Linked DNA regions of Neodiprion lecontei. The protein of the gene in region 2 binds, or shares a complex with, the protein of the main gene of each other region. Links are inferred from orthologs where the notes say so. Each region holds a gene or a part of one and is shown on either strand. Other genes may lie near its edges.

Region 1 (3,935 bases), on a different chromosome or scaffold from region 2:
AGTACCCATATTCCACAAGATCATTCTCGCTGATGAATTTCACAATGGCATTTAGATAAGCTAATTTTCTTACGTTGGATATTCCTTGGCGTTGACATAGATTCGTTAATACCTCTTGTACATTTTCTTTTATATCTACAAAACAAATCATTCGTATCAAGAGGCATTTGTGATAATAGAAAGAGAGGTAAAGTTAGTGTTTAGAACTGTGACGAGCAAGATATTTTTACTTTTTTCCAGATATTTACTTGTTGCTATAAGTAAGAGTATGGATATAAACTTTCAATTAGTACCGGCATTGAAGGGTTCATAATATATTCACATCTGACTTTGAAAAGCAAAGAAATTCGAGACGAATGTGATAAGAAAGTAAGTTTGAGATGCCCAGTGCTATGGTTTTCACGTTACAGTTGGAAAATAAATTTCCAGATTAGTTTGACACTGGGGAATTGTTATTGTTGGAGATATTCAACTGTTATTGTTATTATTGGTATTTTAATTGCTGTGATTATTAGACATACTGTTGTATAACATTCGAAAGTAAGATTGACAGGTTAGGGCTAGGTTACTAACCTTTTGACAGATCCAGTTGCACGGAATTGTCTTCGCCATCAAGATGACCTGCGGCAACAAATGAATTAGTTTTCGATAATGAGTTCATTCAAAATATGTGAAAAATGAGCATACTTTTATGAGATCTATTAGACCGTGAACTCCTTCCACGAATCATCCAACTAGCCATTGCTATTCACTGCCGGCCGCTATCCACAGGGACATTTAATACTTTCGTCCATTTAATAGTATCTTTAAACAAAGGATATTTCATTCTTAAAACATCGAAGTACTATCACGGCTTTAATTATTGATGAATCAAGTGTGATTTGATTCAAGTGACACACGTACGGACGTTGAACTCGACATAGTGTACTTTCGATTGTGTAGAATCTAAAAAAAAATTCTACATAGGCACGTATAGGTGCCAGAGTAAGATGGGAAAACAATCGAAGCTTTTCGCTACACTGCGATCTGTTATTGTAAAAAGCAACTACAAGGGTATTTTGTGGAAACTTCACACAGAGTGCAGCACTATCTAGATTGGCACTGTTGCACCAATTTATTCTAAATCGAGTGACTCCAAAATTCCTGAAATTTTTATTACAATCAATATTGACGTAGGACTTCTGTTACTTAATTCGATCCTGTGATTTTCTCTGCCAAAGTAGGCCGAAATACAAATCACAGCCAGCCGATCTCGCTTGTGATTGCTAGTGAAGTTCAAATTTATGCCTGACGTGGTGAGCGAAAACAATTCATATCAACGTACGTCGAAGATCCAGTTCGATAGGGTAGAAATTTGTGAAGCAAAATATTGTTGAACAAGTATTTGATATAATATGTGATGACAAATAAAAAACGTGCTATAATTGATATAAAAAGAACCCCAAACGATGTATGTATATGGCTGTAGCGTACAAAAATTACAAAGAAAGCACACATTCGTTACCAGTATTGTTTACTAACCTACAAATGATAAAGATGGTGACTATATAATACCACCTGTGATATTACACAAAAATACCTTGGCTTCACCTATCTTCAATGCCTCAGCCACGGGTATAAACAAACGAAGACAGATGGACTAATTCATTGGCACCAGAGGCATCAGGATTGGCATATTTCCACCATATTTCCGATCAGGGAAGCGTCACACGGAAGAATAAAGTATAAATAGATGGTAATTGTTCGGTGATGTCAATAATAGTTATGAGTTAACCTGTCTGTCAAGAAAATATCAATTCTCCATATTTAGTAAGTTTTTCTGAAAATGATAGAAATAGAAATTGTATGAACATCCACAATTCTTAGAATCGATACTTGTACTTAGAAGGAACATCACTCTGGTTTCCCCCTCTGATTTCGTTGCAACGCATGTATGATGTTGAACCTTGAAAATTAAAAGAAGTGTATTTAATTTATCGGCGGAAAAACGGTTTAAAAGGGTGAAATAACCCTCCAAAGTAAGGCATTTCAAGGGGCGATTTGACAGTTTCACCCGCAAGCAATCGGCTGATTTCAATGAACCGAAATTGAAAATGTTTTTCATGTTAATCATTGTGACGACTACCATACATATTGAAACAAAATAAATAAAGTTGAGGGGTGAACCGTCCCTCAATTTTTTTTGCACTCGCCATTCAAAAATCGTGGACCTAATTGAATGAAACCAATGCCATTTTATAGAAAAAACAAAATGGAAGTTCATGTATTTTTGCGTTTTTCAAAAACGCAAAGTCAAGGGAGTAAACTGCCCGCTGCATAAACTTACTTCACATGCCATCTTCCATCTGTTTAAAATGTATCTGCTGATTCAAAATATATTTGTCAGCTCATAGTTGAAGTTTCATCACATTATAAAATCATTAGGCATGTGGGAGGGTATCAAACATGTGCCAATTTATTTTGATATGGCTGATGCCATTAGATTGAAAACACGAACGTTGTGTATGCGCACTCTTGCATACTTAAAAACTACCTCTGCAAAGAGGATAGACTACCCCTCAAGTGAGGGTGGGTATCAATACTTATATTTGTACGTTAGAGAAATTTCCGTGCTTTTTTTATACGCTAGGTAAGAGCATAATTTTTAAATGGGCTCATTCACTGTCAGTTCCTTGTTTTTAAACAACGATCCATATGAACAAATTCATTAGCATTATGTCTATATGAATGATATGTAAAAATCCATTCTTCCGTTCAAAATATTTGTAGTCGGATTCAATACATATGATTTAATTTATTTTATAATATTTTCATGTTAAGGGTCTTGTTTTTACGCACGCACGTAGACAATAAAACAGAGATTCCTATTCTTTAATCACATATCGTATGGTATACAAGACATGTTAAAATTGAATGTGTTGGTAAATGATAAGGATGTTGGTGCAATATAAGAATATTATTAACTATGGGGTGGTCAGATAATATATTATTTTTCTGATATACCTGCTTTAAAAGCTCGTAACCTTTGAAAATTTTTTCATTCCATGATTGTTAATATATGTAATATTAATCATAAGAATGCAACATAAGAATATAATATAATATAAATGTAATATTTTGTAATAGCGATCAAACAAGAGTGGTTTTGGCAATTAAATTGATTTTAATTGGTAACATTTTATTTAGATCAAAACGTTTTTTCACTTCAAAAAAAAAATACATTTCTTAGTTTTCAGTATTCTACAACATACATGAGTGGCAACAAAATCAGAGGAGGACACCAAAGTGATGCTCTTTGTTAGTACTTATAATTGATATACATTTTCTTTTACTACAATGTTATTTATGATACGTATAACTTTGAATTCTTAAGCTTGATTCCATTAACATCCAAGAAAATTAATCTACAGATGAAGTGGCTAATATAACTGCTACTTTGACCACATTAAATTGTAATAGGTAATATCTCACATGGTTGTGTCATAAGTGTTTATATTTGTGCCAGCTAATAAGTAACACAGAAAAGTCAGGAAGTACTGTCTAATTATAGTAAAATTCTCGGCAACACTAAAATTTATCTAACCCTATACATTGCAGACCCTTTGCACCTGGAATCGCATGACACAACATGTGGCGCCAAATGGAATTTCAAGCTGTAGTCCTTGCTGCAGGCAAAGGATCCCGAATGACAGAATTGACAGCTAGTCGAGCCAAGTGCTTGTTGCCTATTGGAAACTATCCCATGCTCTACTATCCCCTAAAACTTTTAGCACGTAACGGGTTCATGGAAGTCATTGTTGTGGTACAAGAAGAATGGAAAAATGAAATAGCGTTAGCTATAGACAAATTGAATATTAGACTCAGATGTGATTTCGTTGGAATCCCAGGTGGGGACGATCTAGGAACTGCTGACGTCCTCCGATTAATCCATGAGA
Region 2 (3,935 bases):
TAGTCTTCAAGATCATCAGAATCATCGTCGGACTCGTTTGTACATGTGTATTTGAAATAGGGTAATTCTTGATCAGTGTCAGGATGAGCTTTGCTCATGGAGATGTAAGTGATACAATCATTTGAATCAATTTGCATGAGGGAATCCGTGTGAACACTTTCCAATTTCAGCTTAAATTTCGGGCCCAAAATACAGCCGTCTATCTCAACTGAATTACCCAACTCACAGCCGGAGAATAAAACTGAATTTTTAACGATACAATCATCCCCAATTCTCACTTTACCCAGCAAGTAAGAATTTTCAAGTCTCACATTATTCCCCAAGTTACAGCCTTCTCCAATCACAGAACCTGTGATGCGTGTGTTTTCTCCCACATTACTGTTTGGACATACCACACAATCCCGTTCCAATGTACAGCCCTTCCCAAGAATCGAACTGTTGTGTTTATACGTACATCTACGTAGGTACAGAAAATACATACAACTTGGCATCATCTCAATGGTTAGGGGATATCCACGTTTTTGAAGTATGTCTCTGATTAAAGTATTGTAATCCCTCCAAGATGTGACTGGCAGCGCGTATTCTTCTGGATCTAATTTTTGCCAGTAAATTCGAGAGTCTAGAATTTCCTCGTTGATTAAGACTCCTCGGATAAAGTCTTCCATGGTCTGAAAATGATGTTGAAGACATTCAGTTGATAGTAAATTCATTCCAATGTTTAGAAGGGTGTTTAAAAATTTCAAAACAATTTAATAAACCACGATTAGGTGTTAATGACAATCATAGAATAGGATGTAAAAATATCATTGAGTAACATTTTGACGTTAGTATCATTGTAACGATGTATGTCGAGAAAAATCGTTACATTATATTTTCAACACTTGATTCCTGCAAAGTTATTCTGGAATTGCAACTTATTTACTTTTTCCTCAATGTTTCGTAACGTTGACATCGCTAACTTCAGCCTTGTTCAAAAACACAATCCAAACTGACAAGTCTATTGTATTTCTAAACCCATTCTATAATATCGTATTAGAAGCTTGCGTATCACATCAAACTTTTTCAGCAGAGTTATGTGATTCTGAAAAGAACTTACCTGAAAATCGAAATTGTCAGAAAACAAGGGAAGCACCGACGCTGAGCAAAGGTAAATATGAGTTTCCAGTAAACCGCTGTGTATTCGGACACAATCGTGATCCAAGAACAACTGTAATTCCAATTTGACTTTTCTGTCTTTCTCTGAGAGTTTTTGATGAAACAAAACTTTGTTATTCGAGTTATCAGCGGCAATTAGACAAGTTTTGTTTTCTTTCACCGGAAAATTGTTAGATCCTAAATCACGGAATATCAGCGTCATCGCAGCGCCTTTGTCTTGTTTTGACTTAAATCGATGCCAGTCGAGAAGCCTCTTTAGATTGGCATTGGTGAAAGCGTCGCCTCTGATCAGGATGAAGTCGCCGCGAATGATACCTTTGCTGTCGATGTCTCGGAGAGCATCGCCAAGCGAACGGCAGCCATCAGAGACGATTAAATGTACATTGATAAGACCCTTGTAATTTTGACTTTGTACGTACGATCTCAAAGATTCAACGTGGTTACTGCAGTACAAAAATAACTCCTGTATATCGTTCCTCACTAAAGTTTCTGTCAGGTATTCCAAAAGTGGAATATGAAAAACCGGCATCAACGCACTTGGGTAGAGCGTCTGCATGGGATGTAAATTTGTGGAGAAGTCATCTGCTAGAACAACAGCCTGTCGGACCTCTTCTTTCTTCAACTCCGTCGCTGCCATTTTATTAGATATTGTACAACCGGTGATTAACCCACAACTATCTTGTTAACGATTGTTAACCCTCGATCACCCTCAGTCCATCCACAACTGTCAGCATGGAATGCGTTTATACTTCTTCTAGTTCTTCTTTCTTTTGGCTATTTCCAAGTCCTAAAGATGGCGCCGATTATTCCAGGGACGTAAGATATCGTATTTGAACAAAGGTTATCGTATTATTGGATTATATTAAAACGTACCATTAATGATGCGTAGAATATTTTAAATGTCATTATCGTAACCGTATATCCCACGCAATACTCAATTTATATGCGATTTTATGATCTTCTCTCATGTCGGCCACCCGTATGGCGCGAAAACCTGCACAATTGGATTTTTTTAAAAATCAAAGTAGATCTAGTTTCCAATAAACTGTTGTTTATTATCATGAATATTAAAATTGCAACAAATATATGCTTATCGTAGATTATCTATCGTCCTCTGTGTCTTTTGATACGTCAATGTTTGAGTATATTTTCTTACGCATTTGCAATTTTAGTACACCACTTCATTAGCGTTGCCATAAGCACGGTCTTACATACAGGTCTTGAAACTCATCAAAAGTTGCGTGGTGGGGGAAATACGCTTACGGTGCATTTTTTGTTTTTCGACGCTGCCGCCAGTTCGCACCACTGATATATATATACACGCGTGGTGCCGTCACGCCAATTGAACGGTATCCATTTTGTACAGATTCTTGTCACTTCAGATATATATATATATATATATGTATACGTGATATAGGTATATCTTCAGTCAACGAACTCTGATTCGAATTTGATTCAAATGTAAAATAAATAATTGACGTGCTCCAACACATGTGGAAAACAATATTATTTGTAAACTTAGCATTGAAATCACGTAAACTACAATGCCGTATTCGTTTTTTACGAGATGCGTTGATAATTGTAGAACGTCAATTATTTTCTGGTCATTGCAATCAAATTTGAATTGGAGTTTCAGCTTTTTCCAAAGATTCGACTCGCGGCCACCAGCGGAGTGCTGCGGGCAGCTAAGCATATTTCTTTCAACGAACACCCTAATGCACATGTGTGATAGTCACGTGACTTTCAGCAAGATTGGTAGAGGCATTCTGCGCATGTGTGACTTTTACGGTTTTATACGTATTGCGACAGTATAACTCCACTACTGACATACATGATATAGCGATATCTGGCCAGACCCCACCAGATTATAGTTTGCCTGTAATAATTTCTCCACCCTTGCGGCGTTTAATTTCATGTTTAAGAAGATAATCAATCTACGAAAAAGTATCTGTCAAACATGCCTGTGAGTCTATCCTTTTCAATTTACTCAAATTAGTAATACAAGACTTATTTCTGTCTTGAAATTGTCGATTTGGTTTTCCGCATTCAGGAGCTGTCAAATGGGTGTATCCCTTTGATATCATGAATCATAACACGGGGTCACAATTTAACAGTGTCGTTGACCTTGATCCAATCGACCTACTAACGAGATGTTGATAGTCAAAGATCACTTCAGATTTACTCTTGAAGTAAATCACGGACTATAATTTTACCTAACCTAATTTAACTGTCAACATGCTATTACCGTGTCAATAAATTCTGACGTGTTTTGCTTTTCTACTATTGATAGACTTTCTCACTTTCACATTATCATACCAATTTTGCATAAAATTTCAGGCATATCATTCAAGTTTTTTAGAAAATAACCAAACGGTTGGCAACATGGCATTGCTACCGTTCAAAACCCAGTTTCGAGGACCAGCACCGTCATTCAGTAACAAAGAATTAGATATAATAGACGAAGCTTTGTATTTCTTTAAAGCAAATGTTTTCTTTCGAACCTACGAAATTAAGGTAATTTTTTAATTTGTATAGTTACATTAAGTAATGTATGTACTGTACACTTATATTACTACCACTTCTTCGCCCTTAAATATTCTACAGAGCGAAGCTGACCGAGTCTTAATTTACATCACTTTGTACATCACTGAATGCTTGAAGAAATTACAGAAATGTGCAAACAAAAATCAGGCAACCAATGAGATGTACACCTTGGCTATTTCCAAATTTGATATTCCAGGAGAAGCCGGTTTCCCATTAAACTCTGTTTATGCTAAGCC

What was found.
Region 1: the proteins of translation initiation factor eIF-2B subunit epsilon (region 2) and translation initiation factor eIF-2B subunit gamma are in contact, whole or in part, in a cryo-EM structure (PDB 7VLK), measured with the Homo sapiens proteins. The link is inferred for Neodiprion lecontei from reciprocal best matches to the Homo sapiens genes EIF2B5 and EIF2B3. Residues at the interface, in NP_003898.2 of Homo sapiens: Pro190, Val202, Arg222, Arg223, Phe224, Ala225, Phe226, Pro227, Leu228, Phe231, Gln232, Ser234, Ser235, Asp236, Gly237, Val238, Glu239, Val240, Arg241, Tyr242, Asp243; in NP_065098.1 of Homo sapiens: Arg155, Phe157, Glu178, Glu179, Leu180, Val181, Ile182, Lys183, Gly184, Leu187, Gln188, Pro191, Arg192, Ile193, Arg194, Phe195, His196, Thr197, Gly198.

What each region holds. Positions count from the first base shown.
Region 1 is NC_060263.1:38,050,653-38,054,587, forward strand, and holds the start of translation initiation factor eIF-2B subunit gamma, read left to right. Parts: upstream 1-1,522; 5' UTR 1,523-1,809; intron 1,810-3,229; exon of another isoform or gene 3,230-3,297; intron 3,298-3,373; 5' UTR 3,374-3,459; intron 3,460-3,597; 5' UTR 3,598-3,628; coding exon 3,629-3,935. Other genes in the region: rapamycin-insensitive companion of mTOR, read right to left, coding at 1-135, 574-621, 688-742. UniProt on the Homo sapiens protein: Acts as a component of the translation initiation factor 2B (eIF2B) complex, which catalyzes the exchange of GDP for GTP on the eukaryotic initiation factor 2 (eIF2) complex gamma subunit.
Region 2 is NC_060261.1:15,633,538-15,637,472, reverse strand, and holds the start of translation initiation factor eIF-2B subunit epsilon, read right to left. Parts: upstream 2,430-3,935; 5' UTR 2,029-2,429; intron 1,943-2,028; 5' UTR 1,793-1,942; coding exon 1,097-1,792; intron 669-1,096; coding exon 1-668. Other genes in the region: actin-related protein 2/3 complex subunit 3, read left to right, coding at 3,113-3,118, 3,493-3,669, 3,760-3,935. UniProt on the Homo sapiens protein: Acts as a component of the translation initiation factor 2B (eIF2B) complex, which catalyzes the exchange of GDP for GTP on eukaryotic initiation factor 2 (eIF2) gamma subunit.